Linked DNA regions of Tamandua tetradactyla. The protein of the gene in region 2 purifies or fractionates together with the protein of the main gene of each other region. This does not show direct contact. Links are inferred from orthologs where the notes say so. Each region holds a gene or a part of one and is shown on either strand. Other genes may lie near its edges. The genes, in order: SINHCAF, RBBP4, ING2 and KDM5A.

Evidence for each region.
Region 1: the proteins of RBBP4 (region 2) and SINHCAF purify together in Homo sapiens (affinity purification with mass spectrometry; 3 studies listed by BioGRID and IntAct, counting the BioPlex papers as one, with this or other methods). This does not show direct contact. The link is inferred for Tamandua tetradactyla from reciprocal best matches to the Homo sapiens genes RBBP4 and SINHCAF.
Region 3: the proteins of RBBP4 (region 2) and ING2 purify together in Homo sapiens (affinity purification with mass spectrometry; 3 studies listed by BioGRID and IntAct, with this or other methods). This does not show direct contact. The link is inferred for Tamandua tetradactyla from reciprocal best matches to the Homo sapiens genes RBBP4 and ING2.
Region 4: the proteins of RBBP4 (region 2) and KDM5A purify together in Homo sapiens (co-immunoprecipitation; 3 studies listed by BioGRID and IntAct, with this or other methods). This does not show direct contact. The link is inferred for Tamandua tetradactyla from reciprocal best matches to the Homo sapiens genes RBBP4 and KDM5A.

Annotation. Positions count from the first base shown.
Region 1 is NC_135333.1:94,268,185-94,275,862, reverse strand, and holds the start of SINHCAF (SIN3-HDAC complex-associated factor), read left to right. Parts: upstream 1-4,659; 5' UTR 4,660-5,203; coding exon 5,204-5,219; intron 5,220-5,745; exon of another isoform or gene 5,746-5,854; intron 5,855-7,678. UniProt on the Homo sapiens protein: Subunit of the Sin3 deacetylase complex (Sin3/HDAC), this subunit is important for the repression of genes encoding components of the TGF-beta signaling pathway.
Region 2 is NC_135328.1:193,217,543-193,225,114, forward strand, and holds the start of RBBP4 (histone-binding protein RBBP4), read right to left. Parts: upstream 3,013-7,572; 5' UTR 2,879-3,012; coding exon 2,863-2,878; intron 2,282-2,862; coding exon 2,134-2,281; intron 1-2,133. Other genes in the region: ZBTB8OS (protein archease), read left to right, coding at 3,619-3,751. UniProt on the Homo sapiens protein: Core histone-binding subunit that may target chromatin assembly factors, chromatin remodeling factors and histone deacetylases to their histone substrates in a manner that is regulated by nucleosomal DNA.
Region 3 is NC_135352.1:29,357,271-29,364,426, forward strand, and holds the start of ING2 (inhibitor of growth protein 2), read right to left. Parts: upstream 3,021-7,156; 5' UTR 2,954-3,020; coding exon of another isoform or gene 2,757-2,953; 5' UTR 2,411-2,756; coding exon 2,242-2,410; intron 1,399-2,241; exon of another isoform or gene 557-1,398; intron 1-556. Other genes in the region: uncharacterized protein LOC143669889, read left to right, coding at 2,757-2,953, 3,163-3,295. UniProt on the Homo sapiens protein: Seems to be involved in p53/TP53 activation and p53/TP53-dependent apoptotic pathways, probably by enhancing acetylation of p53/TP53. Component of a mSin3A-like corepressor complex, which is probably involved in deacetylation of nucleosomal histones.
Region 4 is NC_135333.1:64,212,062-64,219,325, reverse strand, and holds the start of KDM5A (lysine-specific demethylase 5A), read right to left. Parts: upstream 3,043-7,264; 5' UTR 2,615-3,042; coding exon 2,450-2,614; intron 1-2,449. UniProt on the Homo sapiens protein: Histone demethylase that specifically demethylates 'Lys-4' of histone H3, thereby playing a central role in histone code. Does not demethylate histone H3 'Lys-9', H3 'Lys-27', H3 'Lys-36', H3 'Lys-79' or H4 'Lys-20'.

The DNA.
Region 1 (7,678 bases), on a different chromosome or scaffold from region 2:
AATTATTGCTTTTACACTGTGGTTTCTAGCCTCCTCAATCATCCTGGTTTACTCTCCTGTGAACTTACTCAAGTTTGTCAATGTATCTCTTAAAATTATTTTCATTACTGTTAATTTTGTCTTTTTAAACTATGCTATTTAAATGTCATAAGATAGTAGCATAAAATATAAAACCTCTGTAAATTCAGAGGTAACTCTTTTAAGAATGAGCTTGTGACAATTCTTTAAGTCTTTAAGTTCAGAAATTTGAAAAGTAGTTTTGATTCAGTAATATATACCCTGTTTTCCTGGCAGCTGTCAACGGTTGTTGGAGGATTGGGGTCTCTTAGATTGCATAACCAATTACGTACCTTATAGTGTAAAGTTATCTGATTTGCTCTGACCACTTATTAGAATTTCAAAAGGATTTAAACAAAGAGGTAACAAAATATTGTACTTGTTTTGCTGTGAGAAAAAGAGCTCTTGGTTTAGTCTTATAGCTAGTACCTTTTAAGGAATGAAACCCAATGATTAATAATAACAAACAGGATATCAGACTTCATTTTAAAAGCAATCATTATTAAATACATCACTAAATTGCTGATATTATCCCTCATTACTAAATAAGAATTGTGCTTTTCAGACTTTCATATAATTTTTCCGCCATTTCAAGGATATTATAATAATTGTAAAGTTGCTGGCAGCAATTAAACTCTCAAAAGAAGGCGGTAAATTCTATGGGAAAAAAACAACATACAAGTAGAATTACACAGAAAGAAATTAGAAGAAGTGTGGTGGCTTGAGCTTCTCTAGGGCAAAAGGGTTTCACTGTCATTAAATTTTTACTAAATGAATGGAAATATTCAAGCATTAGAAGTAATTCTACAGTGGGACAATATGTAATAAGCAAGGTAGCTGGTGTGGTTAGAGTATGTGGCTACACAGCTATATTTTCAATTTCAATGTCTTTGAGAACTCATTATGAATTCACAAAGCACTACTTTCATTTAAAAAATACTCAGATATTTTTCTAGCATGGTGAAATTCAATTTATTATAATCCAGTTTATTTACATGGTATAAATTACTTTTCTTTCCATTTTTTTTAAATAACGAAAATTCACTTGGGCTATTTATATAATAGTATTTTTAAGTAACCTATAAATGAACTATTGGCTCTGGATAGGGCCAGCCATAACAGCATGTTCAAGCAACAAAATGAACAAAAGAACCTTTGGAATGCACCTGGTTGTTCAAAAATAGCAGGTGGTTGTTAGAGAAAAAAAAAGATTCTAAAGAATCCAGATTTCTCTTTGAGCTTTGTTTCTGACTTTCATACAAAAATTACCTGAAATACTGCTTGACCTCTTTGAGAGCAGAGGAAGTCTTGCTGTGTGAAATTAGTCCAGTAGTTCAGAACGTCCAGATATTTCTTATCTGAACAGGAATACTACAATTCCTGCAATGCATGCACATTTTGAACCTATTCCATCCTTGGATTACCATATATATTCTTTATATAAATTTCCAAGAGAAAAAGCATTCTAGCTATACTTTTGTTTTTTTCAATTATACATTTTACTTTGGAATCACAAGGCTGTTACTCTAATAGGTCAATTTCTTATAAACATTACAAGTACAGAAAATACCAAATATACACAGACTTCATTGTAATATTCACAAAAATAAAAAAAATGTGAACTCCCTTAAATTAGACAGTTATCTTCCCTCTTAACTGAGATTACCTATGTCCAGAGATTTGTCTTCTGACTGATGTCCAGATTCTTCTCAGAAACCTTGATGTGACGCACACATCTGCAGTTGCTATATCAGCGATGTGGTGACTCCAAGGATTTGAGTTTTATGTTACTTAATTCTTTGGTGTATTCAGAGATGACTACTAGCTCTAATCATGACAATCACTTGTTTGATTTTACATTTCTTTATCTTCTAAGTTTTAAAGAAATATTTCCCTTCTAACCTTAAATAATTTTTCTAAGATATAAAATGTCTTTATATGAAGTTAATGGAAGCTTAGAATCTTCATCTTTCATATTCTTAGTACCTCACATATATAGAAATATCTGATTGATATTGGATACTTCTCATTCTAGCTACACTTTTATATTTATTGTAAGCAGTAACTGAAGTTTAACAATATGATGATGCTTACAATTTTCACATCTTGAAAGGCATATAATAATTTTAAAATATTTTTGGAGGATCTATTATAAACAAATAAATATTTGAGACAACTCAGGACAACTTTCTAAATTCTCTGAAAAACAACATAGAGATTCAAGTTTGGGATTCAATTTGCACCAATGAAAGCCCATAAAGACTTATTAAGGCTATTCAGGATTATGTATTATAAGGACAGGAATGGCGTCATATGAATCAAGGTGATCACCATATTCTCCAATTTCATTATAGGTCAAATACAAAATTATAAACTAAAGTAAAGCTGTTTTAACTTGAAATAGATTTACAATAAATTTAAACCACTGATGTATTATTTGTCAAACAATTATTCAGAATCTGTTATCTACTGTACACTGTTTTAGGCACTTAAAAGTATAAGATATGAAATCCCTGCCTTTAAGGAGTTCACATTTTAGAAAGAGATGCCATCCCCCTTCACGGATATTTAAAAAAGTAGTTTTCATATACAGCCATAGGAATAGCCTGCTACAGAACTTTTTAAAAAAAAAAGCATTAGTTGAAGACTTCAGAAGTCCGCATTGTAAGAATGTACTAGGAACTGGCTGTTGAATTAAATTAGATTTTCAGATGCTTTGTATCTATTTAAATCCACTGTTGACATTAGAGTGAAAACAGAGAAATTTGTCAGCAGATAATTAAGTTTTTTGGCTGTTTTCACACTTTTGTAGCTTGTGGATCTGGGAAAAACATCCTTATCTCTCTTCAACCTCCCTCCATTATCAAACCAAACTGTCTGCCTGCTGGTGCTAGGTATGTCCTCGGGATAAAGGTGTATCGCAACCTTTATTTAAATTTTTTTTCACTTGTCAATTTGAGAAATGCTACTTTTATTTCCCTGAGGCTAGAACTGTTTAGAGTGTTGGTTTATTATAAATTCCACAAGGAAAAGTCCCGCACTTTCTTCGCCACTTTTTCAATTCCCAAGACCAGGTTAGTGGTACTATTTCTGGGTGAGTGGAATACTCTATAAGTAGCTGGAGGAGATATATATGCATGTCCCTAGACTACTGACTAGTCTTTTGAGAAAGGGCACTGTTCCCATGGAAATTAACAACCATTCAGTTAGGACTGGTTTGAAATCTTAAGGCCGAAGTGTTGGGAAAAAAGTTGGATCATGATGGGTAGGGTACTATTTGAGTAGGGCGAGTGAAGTTAAGTGAACGTATAGGGTGTCAAAATAGGACTTTGTTAAACGACTGATTAAAATTGCAGGTACAGTAACATCTGCTGGCCCCGAAGAATTTATTTTTAAGCTACAAAAACTCAAGTTTCAATAAAATTTAGGAGACGGGGAAGAAGAATAAATTCAGTCCGAGTGCTTAACCTCCCCTCATCTCAGGCGAGAAACTGGGTACAGGTGTGAAAATTTGGTAAAAACAGCTTTCGAAAATTTTTTCAACGCGAAATGGTGTGCCTTACGAACTTCAGGGTGGAAAGCATCTCACGCAATCGAATCTACTCCCTTGGTTGCTAACCTTTCCGCCTTTCCCATCCCGGCACTCACTCTCGGCCGCCGCCTCCAGCCAGGGGGCGTTTGTTTATGTGACGTCCGCCGTAGTAAGCAGTCCCCGCCCCCGCTTCCCTCTGGCCGCCGCGTTTCCCGCGCCGCGGCGCTTCTCCCCTTAAAAGGACAATAGAGGCCTCGGGAGCGCGCGCGGCCGCCAGGCCTTTTCCCCTCCCCAGCCCTCGACGCGCTCGTGCCCGCATGCAAATAAGTTCGATTCAAGAGAATCTTGCACCGGGAGCCGCGCGTGCGCAGAGGGAAAGCGGAATCTACACCTTCCCGACCAGCGGTAGCAACTGCAGAACTGCAGGAGACAATCTTTCTAGACAAGGCAGTTGAGGAGGAGGGACTGATCGGAGGGGGGCTGGCCTGGTGTGCACTCCGCACCTCGGGAACGTTATTGCGCGTGGAACGGCTGCTTTTGGAAGGTGAGTGATTCTAAGCATCACTCTGGTGCAAAACTGCTTCATGAGGCTTTGATTTCAGGTTTTTTCTTTTCACCTCACTCACCTCCCTGGTCGTTTCCCTCACCCCCCCCCCCCAACAGGAAGTTTTGTCTTGGAGATGATATTGCTGGAGCGCTGTTTTCGTGTTCTTCAGACGCCACATTCTTTTGTATACACATGTTTAGTTTGTATTTTTAATTTGGGGGATGGGGTATTTGAAGCAGACCGAAAGTCTTGGGGTGGGGGAAGTGAGTGGAGCTTGAAAATAATTGAGGAGTTGCTGGAGTTGAGGGATCCACGCTGAAGGTGACAATGACTTTTCTCAGCTGCAGTGTTCTCTGGCTAAAAGGAACCCCGTGGCTGAAAGGCCCAAGAGAAAAGCGACTTGCTGGCAATTGCCGAGCGACCCTGGGTCCGTGCATCCGCGTGGGCGCGAGCCCCGGTCACGGCCGGACGCCGTTGTTAAATGTTAAACCTCATGGTTCAGTTTATTACAGCCCCTCACGCGTGTTTTGTTTAAGATGGACAGTAAATGCCATTCGCTCGAAAACTAAGTTGTTATCGACTTTACAGCTGGCGGCCCTGAGGGGGTTTAAATCGGCCTTTTTGGGAAAGTGCTGGGATTTGCCCGAGTGCACGCGGCGTGGCGTTGTTTGCTCAACTCCGGAGGGATGCGGATGCGACAATGAGAGCAACACGCGGCCGCTTAAAACAGCCCCAGCTCCCCACGCCTGCCTCCGCGGACCGCGCCCATGGAGCTTTGGTGTCCGAGGCTTCTTTGGAGCCTGAAGTTTTATTAAACCTATTTATTCACCTGTAGCGTCGATGTGGGCGCTATGGTGAGGGTTTTCTAGGGCCACCATCTGCGGTTTAAGATGGCCAGTTGCAGCGAAGTTGACTTGGGGATGGAGGCAGTGGCGTTGTCCGCGCGGAAGGAGTGAGTGAACTCCGAAGGGCATCGCTTTTTTGTATTAAACATGACAGACCACGTGCCGCGACCCGCGTTTTAGGCGGAGGTCTGGCTGAAGGTCCAGCTTCCTGGTAGCCTTGAGATGCAGTCGCTGTCGGGTAGGTCCGATCGGCAAGACAATGTAATTTGCTGGTGATGGCGTCTTGCCAGTTTAAAAAGCAGAGTGAAAGTCGCCAACTATCCGCTTGAGCGGGGAGGGTAATTCGGGCTTTCTTATCAAGGACATTGGAAAAACTTGAATTGAATCGGCCCGCTTCCGAGAAGGACCGGAGGACAGGACTCCTGGCTCTCGGGGTTCGGCGTCCGGACCCTTCCTCTCGGTGATCGCCAAGTGCCTTGCCCCTGAGGAACAATCCGACATCCCCGATGCTGCACGTAGGCAGCGCCCGGCTGGACAGAAAACAAAGGGCTGCATGTGCCCGTGCGAGCCCCGCCGGGACTGAGGGCCGCCCGGCTCGGGGCCCACCCAAGTTCTTGCGAGTTTCGGAGAGGGGTTGGCTTTTGTCCCTCAGCCCCTCGTGGGGAAACTTTGGCTGCGCTACTTGTATGAGGTGCCATGCTGGTGCGCGGGGAGGCGGCGTGCTAACCCGTTCTGAGCGGGCGGGTGGGCGAGGCAGACGGGCGCCTCCGGCGCTTCCTCCCCCGCCCCAGCGCTGGGGGCCGCAGCGGCCGAGAGAGCGTGGCCGGAGTTCTCGGCCCCGTTACCCTTGGGCCGGGAGCCTGCGTCTGGGAGGTCTGTGGATTCGCCTTTGAAGTCGAACTGTTGCCATGTTTGAATTACGTCAGGGCAAAGCCATGAGGAGGAACAAGCCCCGGCAGCGCGGCGTGCGGGAGTCGCGGCCTGCGGGAGGCGCCGGGCCCAGGGGGCGGGCGGGCGGGCGCGCGCGAGGGCCCCGTTGTTCCGGCGCAGGTGAGGGAGGAGGGGAGGACGCGGTTCACCTCCCGCTGCCCTCGCTCTGGCGAGCGGCCCTCGAGAGGAACTTTCTTCTCGACACAAGATGTTTTATTTACCAACAAATTCACCAGGGAGCGTTTGTCTTTGCTGGCTTGGTGTCCCCAGGCCGTCCCCGCCTGTCGGAGGGGGAAAGAACAGTTTGGGGGGGGGACCCGAGGGTCTTGAGAAGACGGGGGAGGAGGCGCTTTGCTGCTTTCGGGGAAACCCGCGAGCACCTCCCCAGCCCCGCCGAGATGTAGCTCGCAAGTCGTGGGGACCCAGTCCCGACGGCACCCGAAAACCACCGTGGGGAAGTTTCGGGGCTCCCGCTGTCGCTAAGAAGGGGAAGTGAGGACTGTGGCCGAATTGTGCGTGCCGTTGTTGTCTTTGTGTGTTTGCGTGTGGGAGGGGGAAGCGGGAGGGGGAAGGATTCTTTTGGTTGGGGGGTTTTTGGTTTCACTTGGGGTGGTAGGGCGGAGCAGTTTGTTCTGGTAACTATGACCCCAGTCGGTTTCTTTGTTTTTATTTTCTCCCTCTGCCGTCTAACCTTCGATTACTCCAGTACTCGATGATTAGGAATTACGACTAAACCAAACGTGGACCCTGTCCAAGGCCGCTGTATTTACCCCGCCCCCCCAACGCTGTCCTAAAGAAGGTTAAGAAAACGCGATTTCCCCCCTTTTTTTAATAATTAAAAAAATCAATATGACCTCGTCATTAAAAGTACACTGAAAGCACCTGTTTTTGCCAGACTTTTGGCAAATCCTTCTGTTAATTTATGTTGCAAAATTGAACATTTGGTTGCCCCGTGTAAATTAAAGACTGAAATTTGGTTCTGGTGAATTTCGAGAAAAACCTCATGGCATTTAAAGAATTTGTATAATGATTCCGGGAAGGGGGATCTTTGCCCTAAAGATATGTCCGACTCAATGTTTAGGCATTATTCGCTGCATTATTTTAGGATGACCTTGAAGAAATGATCACGTAGGGGCTTGGAAGCTGCTTCTGGGGACGACACGGGGTAATGGCTAGCTAACTGTGGTAACTTCTTAGTTCCTGTGAACTGGAGTTGACCCTCTGGTTACCCCTCCTAACTTTTCAAGCTAACTTTTTTTTTGGTATGTAGCCCTAGGCATAGCTCAAAAATTATGCTGGTTTGACACATGGATGCTTTTTTGGTATTTGGGGTTTGCTTGCAGTCTAGACATCCAATAAGCAGCATCGTATTTGCTGTTTCTTTCCTGATTTACTCTTTATTTGAATTATGGTTAAAGATTGAAATCTAAAAGTGGCCATTACTAGAAAATAATGTAGCTCTCCTTAAATGCCGTATACCCCAACACTAAAACACAATCCATACAAGTTGAAATCCATTTTGTGCCTTTTCATGGTTGTCTTAGTAAATAGACACATCTCCCAAGTTTTGGTTGCCCCAGTTAACAAATACCAAAAGGCAACTAATATTAGCACTTACATTTCTGAAGTGGTTAGAAAGAGAACGTGTCAGGAAAATTGAAAACTTTGGATTTTGATAATTTTCTGGCTTTCTTTTGGGCATAGTTATTTCTCCGAGTCATGTATTTAAAATGCTTAAAAAACACCAAACGTAAAATGCTTATCAGG
Region 2 (7,572 bases):
GAAAACTAAGATGACAGTGCACAGGATTTCAGCCTTGGGGAATATAGTCTAGTTCAGTGCTTTCTATATCTGGTTAATCACTACATTACCTGGGAAGTTTTAAAACATGGGTTCCATCTTTTGTTGCTCAGATGTGGCGTCTTCTCTCCAGCCAACACAACAAGCAAACTCACCGCCCTCCCCCTGTCTATGTGGGACATGACTTTCAGGGGTGTGGACCTTCCTGGCAACATGGGACAGAAATCCTAGAATGAGCTGGATTTAGAAAACCTTCTCGACCAACAGGGGGAAGAGCAAAGTGAGACAAAATAAAGTGTCAATGGCTGAGAGATTTCAAACAGAGTCGAGAAGTTATACTGGAGGTTATTCTTACGCATTAAATAGATATCACCTTATTAGTCAAGATGTAATGGAGAAGCTGAAGGAAACTGCCTGAAAATGTAGAGCTGTGTTCCAGTAGCCATGTTTGTTGAAGATGATTGTATAACGATATAGCTTGTACAATGCGACTGTGTGATTGTGAAAACCCTGTGTCTGATGCTCCTTTTATCTACCTTATCAACAGATAAGTGAAACATATGGAACAAAAATAAATGTTAAAATAAATTTAGTAGATTGAAATACTAGTGATCAATAAAATGGAGGGGTAAGGGATATGGTATGTATGAACTTTTTTCTGTTGTCTTTTTATTTCTTTTTCTGAATTGATGCAAATGTTCTAAGAAATGATTATGATGATGAATACGCAACTGTGATATTGCGAATTACTGATTATATACGTAGAACGGAATGGTCATATGTTAAGAATGTTCATGTTTGTTTATTGTTATATATTTTTTTAAATTTAAAAATAAAAAAAGATACATATTATTAAACAAAAAAACGTGTTCCAGATGATTTAGAAGGTCTGGGATGGCTAATATTTGGGACCCACTGGTCTAATAGACATAATTTAGCACATGAGTAAATACGGAATCATCATTCACTTAGGAACTCTGCCACAAGAATCTAAATAGTTTCAACTATCACTAAGAATTTCTGACAGAAACAAATCCATTTATCCTGAACTCACTAAGTAATTCTGATGATAAGCCAAACATGGTTAAATTTCTAAGTATTTATTATGGTTTTAGAAAACATCCTTAGGACAGATTTCCTCATTTGTTCTTCAAGCCACTATGAAAGAAATAGCTTCATTCTTAATGCCTGCTGAGCTGAATCACAGTCTCACAATATTTTGCAATAATCTTGACTTACTAAACCAGAGTTTGAATGAATTTAGATGCTATTTCTTCCTGAAACTTTTTTTCATACTCTTGGGTTGAGGTAAATTTTCCTTTCTCATCATTTCATCAGCACTACTACTCTTATGGTAATTTTAGTTATTTTTACTGTTTATATGCAGGAAATCAATGCAGGGAAATTGATATCTGGTATCCCCTGATATCCGATAGCTACTAAATCCTTAATAAATGTACATTAAGTTAAATATTTAATCTCCTCTATTGCAGATTTAAGCTACTCACTTCCAGGAAAACATGATTAATCTCTATTACCCTCACTATGCCCAACTCCATTCACATGAAAACCATTCCACCTTCACGTTGTTTTCTGCTCTCACCTCCTTTAATTGTAACTGCTCTAACTTTCTAATAACTAATAATTATTAGTTTACGTCTGCCTCTTTGAGTAGTCTGTGTGCTTCTTGAAGGCAGGTACCATGCCATACTCATTTTTTATATTCAACAGTTACTACTGCGAGACTGGGACTGTTAAAGAGTTCAAGCAAGTTCTGCAGAAAGAACTGGACACATACTCCTTTTTGAAGGCTGACAAGTTTTACATTTGGACAACTATAGCTTTAACATGGCTATACACATAATACACACATGTACATAAATCTATAGTTGTAATGTAGCGACTCAATTCAGTATCAGAGGCAGACAATGCCATCAAGTTTTCTCTTGGGTAAGTCACAAAACATTTTCACATTTTGCCAAGTTCTTTGACGTAAGAAAAAAAAAATATCAAGTGACCCGGAGAGAAGAAAATAGGGAAAACAATACGGAAAAAAATCAATGTGAAAAACTTCATGAGGGTCCGCCAAAAGAAAGTTTAAGAGATTCGTATCACCTGGTTACATCTGGAAGCCACTGTGCAGTGAGGCTGGGCCACTCCAGAGCATGGGTCATGACCAAATCATAAAGAAAAGGAGTGTTCTTTTTCCATATTTTGTACTCCTCATTGATCACACGTTCTTCCACTGCGTCATCGAAGGCTGCTAAAGCATTAAAAATAAATGAAGTTAGCAAACACAAACGGAAATCGAACACACTGCTACTTGAGTCGATTCTGAAATGGGGGGAGGAAAAGGGTTGCCCAAAGCCCCTCTAGGCAGTGGCACTAACACTCCTTTACACCTTGGCGGGATGGGGGCCGAAAACTACCCTGGGTTCACCCCAGCCAAACACCCCGTTATCCACTGGGTGTGACGGCTCCCTGGCTCTCGCACGCTCTCCTACGCCGTAATCTACAGTACCAGCGAGGAGGCCCGAACACCGACCCTTGGGGATAGGGAGCCGCGGAATGAGGCCCGGGAGAGAATACACCGATAGGGTGCGCAGAGAGGCTGCCGGGCTGCTCGAGGAGGGACTAAGCACCGCCAGCTTCAGCCGGCTCCGACGGGCAACCCCCTCCTACTGGCGCGCCGTTAGCCCGCTCAGTGGGGAGTTTTCCTCACGCTTTCGACGGTGGGAACCGCATTCTGCAAAACTGGGCCTGCCCTCGCTGTTAGGCCGTGTCGAGGCCGCGGCACAGACATGACTCCCCTCGGCTCTCCTAGGGCGGCCCTGGCACCCTCACCTTCCTTGTCGGCCATGGCGGACAGGCAAGCGAGGGGGTTCGCGGAGTTGAGCGTCGCGGGAGGGGCGGGGAGGCTGGAGGCGCTTGCTCAGCGCGCTCGGCCTCTATTGTTTCCTGCTGCCCCTGCGTGAGGCCCTACTTGCGCACCTTCGCGCCAACATCGGCCAATCGGGGCGTTCCGAACAGTGGAGTGGGCGGGGAGCCACATTCAGAGCCTATCCAGACGCGCAGAGTCGCTTTACGCGAGGCCGAGGCGCGCGCTCCGCCCCTTCCCCTATTCGGCTCTCGCTGACTTCCTTCGATTGCGCGCTCGGAGGGGTTGGTGGGGCTGGCCTCGCCTAGGGTCACGTGACAGAGATTTAGCATTGTACTCCCCTGGGCGCAGCCATTTCCTTCAAGCCAATTAAGCTTGCGACCCCTTCTAAGTACTCAATTGAGAAACCCTGGATACCTTTGGGGGAGGCAGGACGGCTCCTGTCACTCTGACTTAGGTAGTGTCTAATTCAGGTGCCTCCTATTTCCAGAACCTTCAAGTTGTTTGTTTCTTTAATCCTAAAAAAGGACTGATGAATCAAGTGCAGGAAATGAGGACTTGATCATTTAAAAGTGTATTCCAAGCGGCTGGGCCTAAGACGGAAGGCTTAGCGGCTAAACTACATCCGCACGCTACGAAAATGGAGTCCTGGTCCTTTAAAGGTGCGTGCCAGGCGACGAACTCTAGAGCGGAAGTTGTAATGTAGGGCTGAAGTCTGACGGATGAAGGGCGGAAGTAGACTACGCAATGTTCCACTCATGGCGGAGCCGGAGGAAGATGTGAGAGACTACAATTTGACTGAGGATCAGAAGGCAATCAAGGCCAAGTATCCTCCAGTCAATCGGAAGTACGAGTGTAAGTAGGTGACTCTCCTCTCTCTAGATAGGGGCTCACTGGCATCCCCTGGCTTCCGGCCTTGCCTTTCACCCCTCGCCAAAAGTACTTCAGACATGACCTGATTCCTCTGTGTATTGTAGTCTCTTTTGTACCTGTCGGAGTGACGCTAAAGAAAAGAGCCACCTAGTCTGAGATTCGAGAAAATTGGGCTCGCACATTTAGTCTGTTGAACTTTCATGTATAGATACTAATCATGTGTATCTTGTGGATTTTACTAGTGTATTATTTCTAAAGATAACCGTATTTTCTAGTGTTTCGAGGTTGTCGATGTCAGTTATCTCCAACAGTGGGCATGTATCTCCAACACGAGGATAAAGTGTTATCATGTTAGGAATTGAGAAAGCCAAATCAGGAACTTCTCATTTGGTGTTTTATATGGGTCGTGATGCTAATAAAAAGACGTGTTTTTTTATCATTCATTTGCTTAGATTTCAGGCAGATCACATAGCTTGTCTTTGCATCTCAGTTCCATCATAGTGCACATCCTCTACAAACGCTGTTACCATCTCTGAGGAAAATGTAGTTTGGGGAGCACATTTTATTTCCCTGATTAAAATCTTGCCTTGATTTCCCATTGTCCTCTGGATAAGTCTTTTATCATATTTTAATAGTTATATATAGAATTCAACAGGTATGCAGTGAAAAATAAGCCTAGAATAACCATTATTACCATTTTCTCATGTGTATGTGCAAAGATGTCGCAGCATTTACTTTATTTAAAACCAGTTTTCAGTATACAGGATGTTTCTGCTCTTCTGTTACCAGCAGTGCAGCAGTGAATATATTTGGACATCCGTGTTTTGCATATACACAAGTGTATCTGTAGAAAAACTTCCTGCAAGTTGCTTTGTCAAAGGATCTGTGTATTTTTAACTGTAATAGTTATTGCCAAACTGTTCTCCATAGAGGTGTTATAACAGTTAACACTCTCACTAGCAATGTATGAATGTATTTCTTTTCCCACACTTTTGCCACTTTTCGGTGTTATCATACTTTTTGGGTTTTTAAAATTTGTTATGTATCTTGTCATACTATCTACATTTTTCTGATTATAAGTGAGGTTAAGCATCTTTCAGTATGTTTGGGACTATTTGTGGTTCCCTTCTCGGAAGTGTATGTTCATATTCTTAACCCATTTTTGTATTGCATTGATGCTCTTTTATATTTAGAAATTTATTTTTATGTAGGTAAAATTATTAATCTTTTCTTTTTATGGCGTCTGGGGTGTCAATGTAGGAGACCTTACCTAGTCAGAGGTTATAATTCTCTCATGTTTTCTCCTAGTACATGTGAAAATAAAACTTTTATTGAAGTACAGTATGCATATAGAAAAATGTGCATAAATGAATTTTCACAAACTGAATATGCTTGTATAACTAGTGACCTGATTAACAAAATATTATCAGCATCCCAGAAGCCTCATGCTCCCTTCCAGTCACTACCACTCTCACCTGTCATGAGCCTGGCTTCCAACACCATAGATTTGTTTTGCCTGTTATTGTGCTTTGTGTGAATGGACTCACAGTATGTACATTTTTTTTTTTTGCTCAACATTGTATTTGTGAGATTCATATTTTTCTATATTGTTATAGATTGTTCTTATTTCTAATACTTACTGCTTTTTAAAGAAACATTTAAATCATAAATTGATCAGAATTGAGGTAAGGTGGAAAGTGAGTATCCAATTTAATTATTTTCCAGATGACTCACCAGATATTCTAACATCATTTATTCAACAGTTGGTTACCCTGCGATTGAAATGCCACATCTTTATCACATACGGAATTCCCTTACATGTAGTTGGTTGTGTTGCAGAACTTACCGTTCTAATCCTTTATCCTCTCTCTTTTTGTGCCCATGGTTTAATTATTGGGAATTTATGCTATCTTTTAATATCTTGTAGGACAGTTTCTCCCCCAGTACTTGCCCCTTTCTTGCCATTCTTTCTTGTTTATATATAGATAAAAATCAGCTTGTTGAGTTTGAAAAAAAAATTTCTACGGGTATTATTTTTTGTTAATAATAAACTTAGGGAGAATTAAAGCTTTTACTTTGAGTCTTTTTCTCCAGCAATAAGGTATGTCTTTCCATTTGTTCAAATCTTATTCTGTATAACCTCATAGCATTTCATTTTTTTTATTGCTAATGTAAATGACTTTTCTTCCATTATATTATCTCTGTGGTTGTTGATAATATATGTGAAAGCTCTTGAGTTCTATAATTAATTTTTATAATGGCACTTTATGAATTCTCTTATGGTTAGTATAATTTTCAGTTGATTCTCTGGGACAATTGTCTCCAAACTTTTTTCATTGCACATCCTGAATTATGTATATTCTACTATATGGTCATAACCAATGCATTATAAAACATTCAGTAAAAACAGCAATTAGGAATGAGAGAAAAAATAAAGTTTAAAATGTAGTAGTTTAAAATTGTGCAAAAAAACCTTTTTAGTCTCACAAAAATCCCGTTAATATTTTTATATTATGTTTCATGATTATATCTATAGAGATGACCATATATTTACCTGAATTATATGAACAGATTTCCTAAAATTGAATCCTCTTTGCAATCCAGGAATACTAAATCCCACTTAGTTGTGGTGTATTATTACTTTAATGTGCTATTAGATTCTATTGTGAACATTTTTAATAGAATTTTTACACTGATGTAATGTGAGATTAGTCTGTATTTTCTTGCAGCTTCCTTTTTTTGCTATTGACCACCCCTAAATCTACCTCCAAAGTTTCCTTGTAGCCCTGTTGTCCTTTAAGACTCAGATTAGTTGATCTCATGTATTCATTCAGCGCATATTACTGAATACCTATCATTCAGCCTGTATTACTGAGCACCTATCATTCAGTGTGTTACTGAACAGAAATTAGGAAAAAAAGAGCAAAGCAAATATAGATAGTCCTCAGTTTCTTGGCACTTACAGTGTTTAATCTTGTTTCCTTCAGGAATTCTTACCTGAACCCCTTAATCTAGGTTAGGTTTATCTCTTTTTCTCCTATAGTAGTAACAACTCTCAAAGTATGGTTTGTGGGCCCTAGAAATGATGTCAAAACTATTTTCACAATAATACTAAGTTGCTAATTGTTTTTGTCACTGCTTTGATATTTGATACATTGGTGGTGGGAAAACAGTATTAGGTTAAACTTCTGGCACTTTAGCACAATCTGAGGCAGCAAGACCAAAAGTAGTCGTAGTCATTGTATTCTTTACCACCACATACTTGCCATTAAAAAAAAAAGTCATTTTCACTTATGAATGTCTTTGATGAATCAGTAAGAATTACTAATTTTATTAAATCCTGACCCTTCAGTATACATTTTTAAAATAATCTTTTTAATGAAAGCAAAAGTATTACAAAATGTTTCTCCCATATGTGAAGTAAGATGGTTACCTTGAGAAAAAAAACTTATGTAATAAAGTTGTAAGCTGAATTGGCTGCCACGAGTGTTTGGCTGAGATTTTCTTGAAAATAGATAATGTGATCTGTCCTCAAAAAAAAAAACAACTGACGTATTTGTTGCCAGTGATGAAATTCAAGCACTCAAATGAAAATTAGGATTTTGGAAAACTCATGTCTGCTATCCTGAGCTTGTTGGCTTCCCAGTACTTAAAAGACTTTCTGATGAGATTGGTGATAATATTAGCAAAATATGTTTTTTTAAATTTTGTTTAATGAAAAGTGGCAATATTATCTGTGTAACTCAGCGAACTAATATTTTCCAAGTAACTAGTGCTTGATATTACATAGTCAGGCTTGGATA
Region 3 (7,156 bases), on a different chromosome or scaffold from region 2:
AAAAAAACATTTGTAATATGAACAAAGAGCACAAAAGTACACAACTTTAGTAAACAAAACTGTGAAAGATGAGCTTAGTAAGCATGTACATGGAGTAAAAATTGGATTGTTGTTTTTACATTAATCTTGAAATTAGTCACTTGCATGAACAATTTCAACGGAGTTGACGATTATTATAATCTGTCAATCTTGCAAGGTCTACTACAATTTTTTATGTTACCAGAGATACATATGATAATTTTAGATGGTCAAGAATGCCCATTTCGTGTTAGTGAATTATAGTATCCTTCCCAACTTCAAATGAACAGAAAACAACTTTTATGAAGACAAACATGTACCTTTAAAGAAATGTAAAAATCTGCAAGCTTAACAAACTACAGGCTTATTATTATTGGAAAAACTAAAAATGTTCAATACACAATTCTTAAATACATATGTTTTTAAGCTACTATTTTCAGGCTACCAATCCTGTATATGTTCCATGCTTGTAGCCCTTCGAATGCTTTTATATAAAGAGTGAAAAAAAGTTTAAATAGCTTAAAAAACAAAGACACACCTGAAGGAGCAGGTTCTGGGGTCAAATATTCCCCACCTAATTACCTGGGCAGGTTACTTAAACATCTTGTTAGTTTTATCAAATGTAAAACGAGAAAACTTCCATTTTTCTTCATAGAGTCATTGCAACGATAAATGAGATGTTCTGGACTTGGGGCGGTGACTGGCAGATTTTAAACGGTCAGTATTAATTCCTTTCCCCACTAACAAAGACTAGTCCTAGCGACAACATGGGCTCAGAAGGCAGAAATAAAACATGGAGACACCTGAATGTTCTAACATGCCACAAGCCAGGAAATGTCACCGTAGAGGCGTGACGCTTAGAGACTAAATCATAGGATTAGTGATGTGTCTAGAAAAACACAGAAAGCATGCAATACGTTATGCTGAAAGTCGTTATGGCTGTTTCCACATAATGTCCACTGCCTGTTACTTGATTCAGGGTTAAATTAAGTGCATAACGACTCCCCTTTTAAACTGCTTCCCTCCTAGGAGCAGGCAAAAATATCAACCAATAGTGGAAGAAAAAACGATACTCTGAGTGAGAAAGTCTAATTCTCTGGTCCTAGCTTCTTGTGTCGACCACAAAGGGCGGTTTTCGTCTCATCCCATAAACTTAGCGCAGGAGACACCCAGGGGTGAAGGGACGCCAGGCGGTTGCCCAGTCAACCAACCCGCTTCCTCCTGGGCCCGGAAGTGACGCAAGGCCCAGAATCAACGCGGTGGCCAGGGCTAGCTACGGTCGCAGCAGTTGATTGTGCCCCCGCTGTGATTCAGTAGTTGGAAAGAAGAATCGAAAAATAACACCAACATTGACTGCTAGGGCTGAACTAATGTCCCACATTGCCCCGACCCCCTCCCTAACAGCAGCTCTCTCCCAACCCTCCCACAACCAGCCATTTTCGAGGCCGGCGGGAACGCGCGCGTCCGCGCCCCTCCCACACCTACGTCACGCCCAAGCCCCGCCTCCAGGGACTGGGGGCCCTCCTCGCCACACACACACACCCCTCTTCCTTTCCCCACGGGGGACCCCTCCCCTTTTAACCACTCGTCCGTAGGAGCTAGGAAAAGGCTGCGGCCCGGAACTTTCTCAGGGACGGGGAGAAGGGAGCGACTCCTCAAACCCGGAGCCGGGAGCCAAAGAGCGGCGGGAGGGACCTCACTGGAGTCCGCCTTCACGGCCCTCTCTCGCCCCCTCCCCCCCCGCACGTTCCAATGCATCTGCTCTCAGGGGGTGGGGGCCCGAGGAGGGTGGGGAAAGCCAGGCCCCGGAGACCAGCGGGAGCCCGGCGGCGACTGGCCGCCTCTGCCTAGACTCCCTCGCGGGGCAGGCGGGTCTGCGGCACGGGGCGAACAAGCGTCAGGACAAATGCTTGCTGCTTAAAATGGCTGATTCCCTTCCACAGCAGCTGCAGCCGCTGGGTGTGCAGTGGGTGCTGACAAGCGGCAGCCCCCCGCCTAGAGACCCCACAGAAGACCTTGCCGATCGCAGCGGGGGAAGGGAGGGCCACGAACACGGTCTCCAGTCCCTCTCCCCCGTCCCATACACCAGACTCCATCTGTGCACTCGAGGAGACTGTCACAAGAGAAGGGAAAAGTGGGCAGCCTCCAAGAGCTCGCTCGCGGAGGCCAGCGGATCCCGGTTGGCGGGGGAGGACCCCCACGAGCAGCCCCGTGATTCCCTACCTTGATATTTGTTATCCAGCTCTCGCAGAACAGACACGTTCCTCTGCATGTCGTGAGGCAGCGACTCCACACACTCGAGGTAGTCCTGCACGTAGCAGGTGAGGAGCCGGCTCCGCTCCCCGGTCAGAAGCGCGGCGGACGAGTACAGTTGCTGCTGCTGCCCTAACATCCTGCCGCCGCTGCTGCTCCTCGCCGCCGCCGCCGCCGCCGCCTCCGCATCCAGCAACCACACTTGCAACAGCCACGGACGCCGCGGCTCCTGTGCTCAGCAGCCCGGCACCGCGGGGACACCGGCAGCCACTCAGGAGGGCACAGCCGAGTCCCCCGATCTTCACTCCCCCAAAGAGAAGCCCTCACTCCCCGCCCCCGCGGTAACAAATCCAGGGGCGGGGCGAGGTCAGTGCCTCCTCCTTTCACCCCTCCCTCCCCAGGACTGGAGCAGCGGGGATCCCCCCAGCGGAGCTGGCGCCGGGGTCCCAGGCGTTGACACTTCCTGTTTCCCTCCGAGTCTCCAGATGCTACCGATGCCGCCTCGTAGCTCGGATCCCCATGACAAGCCTCTCGCTGCCCCCTTTTCTCCCAATCACCCTCCGTGCCTGTCGGAGAGTCTCTCACTGGACTGCTCCCGCCCCTCCTCCTGCGGCCGCCTCTGCGCCTGCGCAGGACTCACTCCTAATAAGGCCGGGGTCCGCCCCTACCGCCCTACCGAAGGGTTCGCATTCTCCCGCCTTCCCTCCGCCACTCGGGCGATTGGTCTGTCAACTCTAGGCTTGGGGGGAGGGTGCGGAGGACGGCCAAACGGCAAGCTGCGCCCCGCCCCCTCTTAAAGGGGAAGCACTGTCAAGCCCGGCTCTTCGCCCAATGTCTGAATGGAACCTGAAAGGGAAAGTGGCTGACTTCTTTCTTCTGTCCTTCCCACAGGAAGAGGGAAACTTGGCCCAACTCATTCGACTCGGTGCTACCGACTTTCTTGCCATTAGGTGGATCTAGCGCTGCCCCTCTGGAGCCTTATAAGGAACAGCAGGCGGTCGCTTTTCGCTACGCCCTGGAGTGAGGCCTGTGGGAACTACGCGACCCAGCGTGCAGCGGGGTGCGGCTCCCGGCATGCGCTGTGGCTGTGCCTCAGCCGCCGCCGTCGCCGTAGCCCGCCGCTCGGTTGCCAGTCGCGGTGCTGCCGCCTCAGCGGTTGCCTCAGCGGTTACCTCACGGTTCCCTCTTCCTCCCTCCGTGGCCCTCGGGCTCAAGGAGCAACCCGGGCTAGCAGGGAGGTAGGCGGTGCCCCCCTCGGCCCCCTGCGTTTTCTTTACGTCCGCGCGATTTTTAAATCTCCCTTAGAGGGCGTGCTTCCGCCCTTCCTCAGACGCTAGAGGTTTCCCGGCTTCGAGGTGCCTTGCAGGTTTTGTCCCTTCCCTTTTCCAGAAACCCACTATTTAAATTTGGGGGGAAGGGATGCTGGACTGAGTCTGCCCTGGAAAAGTTTTTGTCTAACAGACAACCTTTGAGAACAAATAAAAAGAAACCATTTTCGGGTTCAGAATGTTTAAGCCTTGAACGTCGGCGTGGGCAAACTGGCGGAGTGGGAGGGGACACCGCCACCTTCCCGTCTCTTTTTACCCTAGAACTAACAAACACGGCGGGGGGGGGGGGGACGGAGATGGGAATGAAAGCATTATTCCGGAATCATGCTCACAGCCTTATGTAGGAGGTATACTCGGGTTTAATTTCTGTATAGTGTCTGTTGCGTAAAGTGCCAAGCAAGAGAGCTAATTTTAAGTACGAATGTCCTCTCAGTGTATATAACAACGTGTTTTTTTTAAAGAAATGGGTGTAAATAGAACGAATACACGGAGAATTTTAATGGAATGCCTATGTAAATAAACCGTATTGTGAGTAGTACCTTTGAGGAAATATTAGTGCGTGGTAAGTTTGGATTATCTTATATCCAGTTTGTTTGCAGCCAGTGGTACAACTGTATTATGACCTATTTAGAGGACTTTATTATTATTATTATTATTATTTTCTTTCAGTTCCAAACAACATAGTCCTAAGATTAAAGTTTGAATTGAGTGCCAAGAATAAGAATTACGTTCACATAGTTTGAATATGAAAATTTGTAAATATGCAGCCAGTGAGAAGTCTTCCCTTCTTTCGAGCACTTTTGAAACAGCTATTAATACTAAGTAACCGTGAAATGCTAGAGTCCCTAAATGCAAAGAGAAGTCTAGAGAAAAACTTACATTTCAAACCAGAACAGAGCACGCCAGGGAATTTGACGTTTTGGGAACAACTGAAATATTGCAAAGGACCCAGGGATTGTTCTATGTTATTATCCTGTGATACTTTGAAGTTTTGACCTCTTGAATATTACCACAATTTTCATCCAGGCATTCCACTGTGACTGGAAACAGTCTTGGGATTTTATTGTTGTCATCTTTAATCTTTCAAATTAAGCAGCCACCTCTTGCCAAAACACAGTTGTTGGTAGGAATTGAATTTTACCGTTTTTTACCTTCACCTAATATTTTTATTTGTTCACAAGTTTGCATCAGCTAGTATTTCTTGAAGGCTCCCAAATAATGCATGATGCCATGTTATTTATTAGTTAGATACCAGATTTATCTATGAGATTTTATTCATTCTGGCAGGTGGTCACAGGAAGATGTGGCAAAGGGTTATTAGAAACTAGAAATGAGAAAAGGCAATAATGCAGGAAACCCCTCCAGGAACCTAGAGCAAATTGAGAGGAAAGGTTGAGAATGGATTGGGAGAACTTTTATGGCATTATTTTCTCCTTTCATAATTCATTTGTACAGTTTGATAAGAAGCAAAAATTAATTATTTTTCAAATTGTTTTGGTCTAAACCTAAGGCACACTCTAGTATGGTAATATATATGTATATTTGTGTGCATGAGTTATTTCAGTTATGTACCTTTGTTGCTATATTTATAAAGGTTAATCAAAAGCTTATTCCTGCTGTACTTTTGAAAGGAGCCTTTGTGGGAGAGTAGTTACACAGAATAAAAAAATCACCATACTCCCCAAATTCCATACTTCACTTTGGTTAATTATGAATGTCTCTTTTCTGCTTTGTAGTCACTTAACTGGAAATTTGGGGTCTTTTTAGAATGGGTCTCCTTATCCTCTGCTAAATGTAAGATTTAAAAATCCCTAATTCTCCAATATAGAAGATAGTCTATGAATAAAGCAAAGAGGCAACTTACTCTTCATTGTATTTTCCCCCACAAACAACTCTAAAAAGACAAGTATCTAATGCTTCCAGGTTAGTAGAAGTGTATGGGGATTAACTTTAATTTCTGAATCAGTCTTAAATCAGCCTTTGGCCTCCAAGACTCTAACCTTTGAGATGTTTGTCCCTGGTAGAAAGTGTGCCTCCAAAGCTATCTAATATAGCTCTTATTTATGCTGTGAGAGGCCTGAGCAACAACTTCACACTCTGACTGAAAACAACTAACAAGTAATTCTGAAAGATTCCCCAAATGTTTACTGTGATGTGTTCTGAGAAAATTCAACTTTTGTTTGAGTCAGGTCAATTAAATTTGAAATCCTTTTCTTTTTTTTCTCCTTTTAATATTATTAAGCTCTTCATTATGGAAAATTCGAAACATCAAAGTAGAAATATTAGTACAGTAAATCCTGATATACTAGGCATCCAGCTTGAACAGTGACCAACATATGGCCAGAATTATCTTTAAATGCTTTAAATATAAACAGAGATGAGATTTTAAAAACTATATCACAATACCGTTATGCCAACTAAAACAATTTCTTAGTATCAGTATTCAGATAATTCAGAGTTCCCCATTTTCTTGTACTTAGTTCGTTGAACAGGACTCAAGTAAGTTCTACACGTTGCATTTGATTAATGAAGTTTTTTTTTTAAACCAATTAGAGGTAGTTAATTCACTATGTGATTCAGAGAAGCAGATAGCAGTGCCCTTCTATTCTAGTTTGCTAGCTGCCAGAATGCTATATACCAGAAACGGAATGGCTTCTAAAAGGGGGATTTAATAAGGTGTTAGTTTACGGTTCTAAGGCTGAGAAAATGTCCCAATTAAAACAAGTCTATAGAAATGTTCAATCTAAGCCATCCAGGAAGATTCCTTGGTTCAAGAAGGCCAATGAAGTTCAGGGTGTCTCTCTCAGGTGGAAGGGCAAATGGCGAACACAGTCAGAGTTTCTCTCTCACCTGCTTTATTGCATAAGTCCAACACAGGAATTGTAGAAAAAATTGTAGAAAAAAGAAATAAAATTTAAAAATATAAAAATCTCTATAAGCTGGAGAAACTCTTCTCAGCCTCTCAGTTTACTACTAATCTAATTTACAATTAGATTAATATCTGTTTTAGCAATTATTTTGCTTTCCAGGAATCATTTAAGACCAAAGGACAGTGTTAAGAAAATGCTAGATTCTCTAGATAGTATAAATCTGAGCAATTTCAGCCTATACTTGTAGTTTATATGGTAGAGAACACAAAAGTTGGTGAATACAGCCAATTCAGTCAATTCTGCTACTTCAGGTTACAGGATGACTACTAGCATCAAAAGATGGTCCTACTATCAGGAGATAGAAATAGGATAAGATATTGGGTAATTGGAACTGAAGAGATACAGATTGTGCAACAGGACTGAATGTAAAAACGCAGAAATGGACAGCACAATACTACCTAACTGGAATATAATTATGTTAAAACACTGAATGAAGCTGAATGTGAGAATGATAAAGGGAGGAGGGCTGGGGGCACAAATGAAATTAGAAAGAAAGATAGACGATAAAGATTGAGATGGTATAATGTAGGAATGCCTAGAGTGTATAATGATAGTGACTAAATGTACAAATTTTAAAAATGTTTTGCATGAGGAAGAACAAAGGAATGTCATTACTGCAGGGTACTG
Region 4 (7,264 bases), on a different chromosome or scaffold from region 2:
AAACAGAAAGAATTGTATTTCTTAGATAAAATAATTTCAATAATACTCAAAAAAATAATATCTCTTCAAATCTCACCAGTCCTGTTATTTCCCACAATTATGCTTTCCCAAATTATTTCAAGTGGAATGCAATGAGCCCCTGTACCAATAAACATCCAACTTTATTTAAAAAAAAAAGTCAGAATTTGAAAGAAACTAAAAAAGGTAAAATTAAAGACAAAAAGTAAGTCTTAAAGTACTTAATATATATTTGGAAATATGTTTTTATACTTACGTGTAATGTGACATAGCACTTTACATTCTATATTACAAAAATCCTTTGTTTAAATGAAAGCCCAGCTTCTGGAACCCAAATATAAAAAAAAAAAAAGTTTGCAAACCCACTAGGACAAGGAAAATCTCCAGATGGATGCTGTGGAATAACTGAAATGAGATAGCATATTTCAAGTGGAGTTCTAGAGAATAAAGTTTGACTTGGCACATAAAAATCTGAGTAGTAGTTCAAAAAAATTATCTTCCCTTGAAAACTAAAGAAACCCACCAATATTAAGATTAAATTCTGCTTGTAAAACAAGATTTATTTCAATAAAAATGATATAACACACAAGAGAAGGTATACTATTTCAACCTCTTTAAAAAAATTTTTTTTAATTAAAGATTTTCATAATATAGAATGTAAACTGCTATATCACATTACACATAAATGTAAAAACATATTTGCAAATGTGTATTAAGTACTTTAAAACTTTTTCGTCTTCAATTTTACTAAAACTTTATTTAAAATTTCTAATTAATAAAGGCAACAGAGTAGATTAAAATACAGTTTAGAAAAAAACCTTAATGTTGAAGGTTTTGTCAATATTAGGTAATTCTGACAGAAAATGAGGGTTACTGAAGCTTTTAGAAGATGGTGATACATATCACCATAGTAATTACCTGTTAATTGTTTGTTTACAACTGATAGTCTATGATCTTAATCAATTCATTCATCACAGTAGGAATAGCATGCATGGTCTTTAGAATCTGTTTACAGACCTAGGTTCAAAAATATACCTTGCAGTTTACCCATGATCACACACTTAATAACTGACTTAACTTACGGAGACTTGCCTCATCTATAAAATGAGGACTTTATTTACTTACTAAAACTTCACAGAAGATTACTGAAACAATATATACATACAAAGCCCTTGCCAAACAGGAGGGGCTAAATTAGCTTCTCCTCCCTGCCCACCTCCTGCTTCCCAGCTAAATTCCTTTTATTTGCTGTGGTAGTCTATGGTGAGGACAAATGAATTTTCTATGACAATCTAAGAGAGAAGTTTTTAAAATCCAACACAGTAACAGTGCCTAATATTTTGTTTACTACCACTAAAACAAAACATAAAGGAAGGTGTCTTCTGGAAGCACTGTCCAAGACAATGGTGCACAAAATTTAATGTGCATTAAGAATCATATGAAAGTAATTTGCTAGAAAAGCAGATTCCAGAAATTGATCTATCTAGTCTGGGAATGAGGCTTACAAATCTGCATTTTAACAAGCATCCAGTTAACCCTGGTGCAGGTGGACCAAGAATATCATTCGAAAAGCATATGTCTAATGTGATAAAGACAATACCTAGATAACCTGAGATCCTGTATGACTCAAGCGACCAATAAACCTTGTGACCTTGCGCAAATCACTTAACCTCTTGGGGCACTAATTCACCCAAAGAGGTAGTATCTGTTTTCCTTAACTTATATTAAAGATCGATGATGGTAATAAACCTACAACATATCTGGTTATTTAGAAATAACGCGACTCGTACATCTTTGATCCTTGGTTCCTTGGATCGAGAGAGTTCAACATTTTCTTTCACCTCCAAGACACAACCAATTCTTCCTAAACCTCTAAATTTTAAAGATAAATGCTGCTCCTTCTCTACCCCTGGGAAGACTTTCAGTGCTGCAATAATCCAGTCTGGGGTTCTCGTTTCTTTCTGGGGAACAACTAGAGCTCAGATTACCTATTAAGATACCCTAACACTGAGATGAAGCCTGCGAATATTTAATAAACTAAACAGTAATAGGACCTGGATAAAGAAACAGAAGGAAGAACAGTTTTATAATCGCATCGTTATGTGGATTGAACACGAGGTACATGTCACGTCATAACATTTCTAAAGTCTAATACTCCCAATACATCGAAGGCCATACTTGTAGGACAACGAAAGGCCTTTTGTTACCCATGCCTTCAATCCAAAGAAGGAGAAAACTATCAGCTTTCAAGCGCTAGAAGGAAAAGCTCCCAGGGACACACACCACTATCTCGACTTCAGAAATAAAAGACACGGTAATAATATACAGAACCTTAGCCTCGAACTGCTGAAAAAGAAGGGTGAATAAATACGTAATGACAGAAAAACCGGAAAAATAAAGCTAAACCAAGAGTCCTCACAGACTTCAGTACCTTGGGCGGTCGGATCTTGCAGATGCCAGTTTTCTCGGCCAGAGGCCGGATGCGGCCGATAAAGCTGAGTGGGTCTGTGAACTCCTCCCAGCTAGGCTCAAACACTGGGCATTCCGGGGGTGGCACAAACTCCGCCGCATAGCCCCCCGGCCCCACACCCGCCATGGCAATACCCAGGAGGGCTCCGTGGGCGAACAGGTGGAAAAAGGCTGTCTGAAGCCCACCAAGCCTTTCACGTCCCCTGACAGGGACCGAAGCACATCTTCTCTGACAAAAACTGCTCAATAGAGGAACACCAGACTCGCTTCCTCCTCTCGTTTGTTATTGTTTCCTCCGGGGCTTTTCCTCTCAAGGGAAGGACTTTTCCGGAAGTCAACGTACTATCAAATCCCTCCGCCACGACGCCTCGCTATGCGACCCTTTCTTCTTCCTCCCTTTCCCGGAAGCGCAGTGTCGCTCCTTCTCTCCTTGCCGGCGACTGTTTTGCGCAGTCCGACGAGTCCAGACGGCCCACCCTTGAGAGTTCCACGATCACTCCTCCAGAAGAGGTAGAAATGGTGTAAAGCTGCCGGGGCGGAGGCGGGACGCGCTCTTCCGGCGCGGAGGAATGTGTAATGCTTCAGAGGGCAGAGGTTCTGCTTCCGGTGTGGAGGGTCCAGTTCCCTTTTGTGTATAAGAGGACAGGAAAAGGAGCTTGTTCTAACTTCACTCACTCCGCCCCGTTGCTGGTGGTTTGCGGCTTGTTTTAACCTACTTGCCTTCCTTTTACCAAGTTACTAGCCTTTTCAACGTGTCTCCTTCTCTTTTTCTTTTTTCTTTCTTTTTTTTTTTGTGTGTGTGTGTCTTTTTGACTGCTAGTATCTCGAGTAATCTTCCTGGGCCATTCCCCTCCTCCATGGCAACTTCTGGTCGAATTTATCCCCCAAGTCTTGCAGTAGGACATTAGCTCCCATCCAGGAATTGCTTTTCGTCCCACATAGACGTAGCAGCTCTTTTCCTTGCTTATCCGGTAATTGTCATGCTCCAAGTCATCTCATATAACAGTAACCACTTCCTTCTGACAACCCTGGCCCCGTAAGCCTTTCTCAATTTGCCGTGAAAGCCATAACCATTGCTTGTCAGAAACATGTGTGTCAGTGTCTATCTCCCACTTTCTCCAAATTGTAGAGAGTAACGTAGAAGGGACTAAAAGGAAAACTGTGAAACGTTAGTGTTAAGTAAACACTGGGAGGTAAACTTTCGTCCTAGATTCCCTTTTTAGATATACATACTCCCCAGGCAGCCTCAGCTACTCTCCGGACCTAAATTGCCAATTTAGGCTCCTGAATCTGTATTTCCAGCCTAGTCTTCTGAACCCAGTTCCAAGCCAATACTTACAGCTACCTACTGGACAATTCCAGTTGGGTCACTTAAAATCATTCAGTGTTTCTGGTTCTATGAATGATTTCATCCAATTGCTTGAGCCAGAAATCTAGAAATAATCCTTAACTCCTTATACTCCTTTTCCCCTTATATACAATCGTGTGTGAAGACTGGAGATTGTATCACCCCAAAATTTTAAATCCATCTGTGTCTATCAGTCCTCATTACCAGTATCCTAATTTAAGTTCTCTAACCCAAACTGTGATAACTGCTCAGTTCTTTGCCCCTCCAGTCAGACTCTGGATTAATTTGTCTAGAAACCCAGAATTCATCTTGTCACTTTCATATCCAAACTCTTTTACTACTTTCTGTATTTCTTCCTAGCTTCATCGCTTATACTCCTCCATGTATGCCACATAAATTTTTGTGATGGCTTTAAAACATCCTGCTTACTCTCACCTCTGAGCCTTCACAAGTAATATTTCCTCTGTCTGGAACATTTTTGTACTTTCCTGACCCCACACCATTCCAACAATTATGTATATCCTCTTACTGGTTAAATTCCTATGTATCCTTCTTCCTATACATCAGCTGAAATATCACTTCCTCTGGAAAGTATCCCCAGCTCCTGGGGATGCTTGGTACATAGAAGGTATGCAATAAATTCTTGTTAAATAAATAAAAAACATTCACCAAATAAACTGCCTTGTGTTTCATTGCCTCATCCTATATTTACATATGCCAAATTTTGTTTGAGACTGTATCAGGATGTGACATACATAATATTCCTTTGTTTAACTATAGCATCCACAGTAGTTAATACCCAATTACTCATACCCACTAACCTAAACCCCATATGCAAACACTTTTAGGGAATATTTCTGTTTGTTGGATAACAAACAACCTCAGAATCTGATGTTCTCTTGGTCTCATCTGAAATCACTCATGTAGCCACAATCATCTGATGGCTTGGGTTGAACGGTTTGAGATGGTCTCACTTGCATGTCTACCAGATGGTGCTGGCTGTTGGCTGAGAAGCCCCAGTTCTCCACATAGCTTCTCATACTTGGCAAATTAGTGGATTTGTCAGGGTTCTCCAGAGAAGTAGAAGTGACAGGATATATATGTGTGTGTATATGTGTGTGTGTGTGTGTGTGTATACATATGTATGTTTGTTATATATATAAATGTTAAGATTTACTGTAGGAAATTGGTTCACATTACCAACCACGGGGATTGGCAAGTCTAAATTCTGCTGGACAGACCACAAATTGGGAACTTGAAGATGATTTTGAATTCCTCAGGAGAGGAGGGCTGGCTGAAATAGAGATAAAAGTTATTTCTGACTGCTAAAATCCTCAGATCTCTCTTTAGGGTCTCCAACTGATTGGATGAGGAGATTTCTCACATTGCTGAAGGCAGTTTCCTTTGTTGATTGTAGATGTAATCATCCACAGACAATTGACTGACTAATGATTAAAATCCATGCAATACCCTCCCAGTAATAATCAGGCCGCTGCTTGTTTGACAAATAACTAGAAAGAATAACCTGGCCAAGGTGATACATGATGTTCTAGTTTGGTAGCTGCCAGAATGCAATATACTAGTAACAGAATGGCTTTTAAAAAGAGGAATTTAATGAGTTGCTAGTTTACAGTTCTAAGGCTGAGAAAATGAGCCAATTAAAGCAAATCTATAGGATGTCCGATCTAAGGCCTCCAGAGAAAGATACCTTGGTTCAGGGTTTCTCTCTTAAGTGAGAAGGCACATGGCAAACACAGTCAGGGTTTCCCTCTCATCTGGAAAGGCACATGGTGAACACGGTCAGGGTTCCTCTCTCATCTGGAAGGGCATATGGCGAGCACAGAGTCATCTGCTAGCTTTCTCTCCTGGCTTACTGTTTCATGAAGCTCCCCGGGAGGCATTTTCCTTCTTCATCTCCAGAGGTCGCTGGCTGGTGAACTCTGCTTCTCGTGGCTATGTCATTCTTCTCTGCTTTCTCTGAATCTCCATTCTCCAAAATATTTCCTCTTTTATAGGACTCCAGTAAACCAATCAAGACCCACCCAAATGGGTGGAGACATGTTATCACCTAATCCAACTTAACAACCAATCACTCTTGACTAAATCACATCATCCACATACACATCAACATTGTAATGATCTGATTACAGTTTCAAACATACAGTATTGAATAGGAATTATTCTACCTTTATGAAATGGGATTTTGATTAAAACATGGCTTTTCTAGGGGGCATACATCCTTTCAAACCAGCATACATGAAATTAACCCATCATGGTTAAACTGGGCTTTTTCGCAACATGATGGCTTCAGGGTTCCAGGAGGGTGAGAATGGAAGCCTAAGCCTAAGCCTAAGGACTGGATTTCAGGATGTACACGATCACTTCCAATGCATTTTGTTGAACAAAACAAGCTAGAAAGCCATCCTAGATTCAGGGTGTGTGTGAAATAGACTTCATTTCATGATGGGAGGAGTAACAACATAACATTGCAAAGGGATATGGATGCAGGGAAGTGTGAGTCATTGCATACAATTAGAATGATTTACGATAAAAGTCTGAGATTTTTACTACTTACATCTGGAAAGCCATACTATTCACAAAAAAAGGAGTAATAATTGAAATCTAAATAAAAACATTTGTTCTAGTTTGCTAGTTGCCGGAGTGCAATATACCAGAAACAGAATGGCTTTTTAAAAGGGAAATTTAATAAGCTACAAGTTTACAGTTTTAAGGCCACAAAAATGTCCCAATTAAAGTAAGTCTATAGAAATGTCCAATCTAAGGTATCCAGGAAAAGATACCTTGATTCAAGAAGGCCGATGAAGTTCAGGGTTTCTCTCTCAAGAGGAAAGGCACACGACGAACACAATCAGGGTTTCTCTCTCGGCTGGAAGGGCACATGGTGAACACAGTGTCATCTGTTAGCTTCTCTCCTGGCTTCCTGTTTCATGAAGCTCCCCAGGAGGAGTTTTCCTTCATCTCCAAAGGTTGCTAGCTGGTAGACTCTCTGCTTTTCGTGGCTATGTTGTTCTGCTCTCTTAGAATCTCTTGCTTTCTTCAAAATGTTTCCTCTTTTATAGGATTCCAGTAAACTAATCAAGACCCACCCGGAATGGGTAGAGTTTAACAACCACTCTTGATTGAGTCACATCTCCAGGGAGATAATCTAATTATAGTTTCAAACATTCAGTACTGAATAGGGATTAGAAGAAACGACTGCCTTTACAATATGGGATTAGGATTAAAACATGGCTTTTCTAGAGTACATACATCCATTCAAACTGGCACAACACTGAAATAATTCATTTGGTTAAGCATTCAATTAAAATATAATGGTTTTGCTTTAAAATTATTAATAAAGTAATAATTTATTTATGTTATTTTATAAATAATAGGATATTTATAATCCTATTATAGGCCCTCTATGAG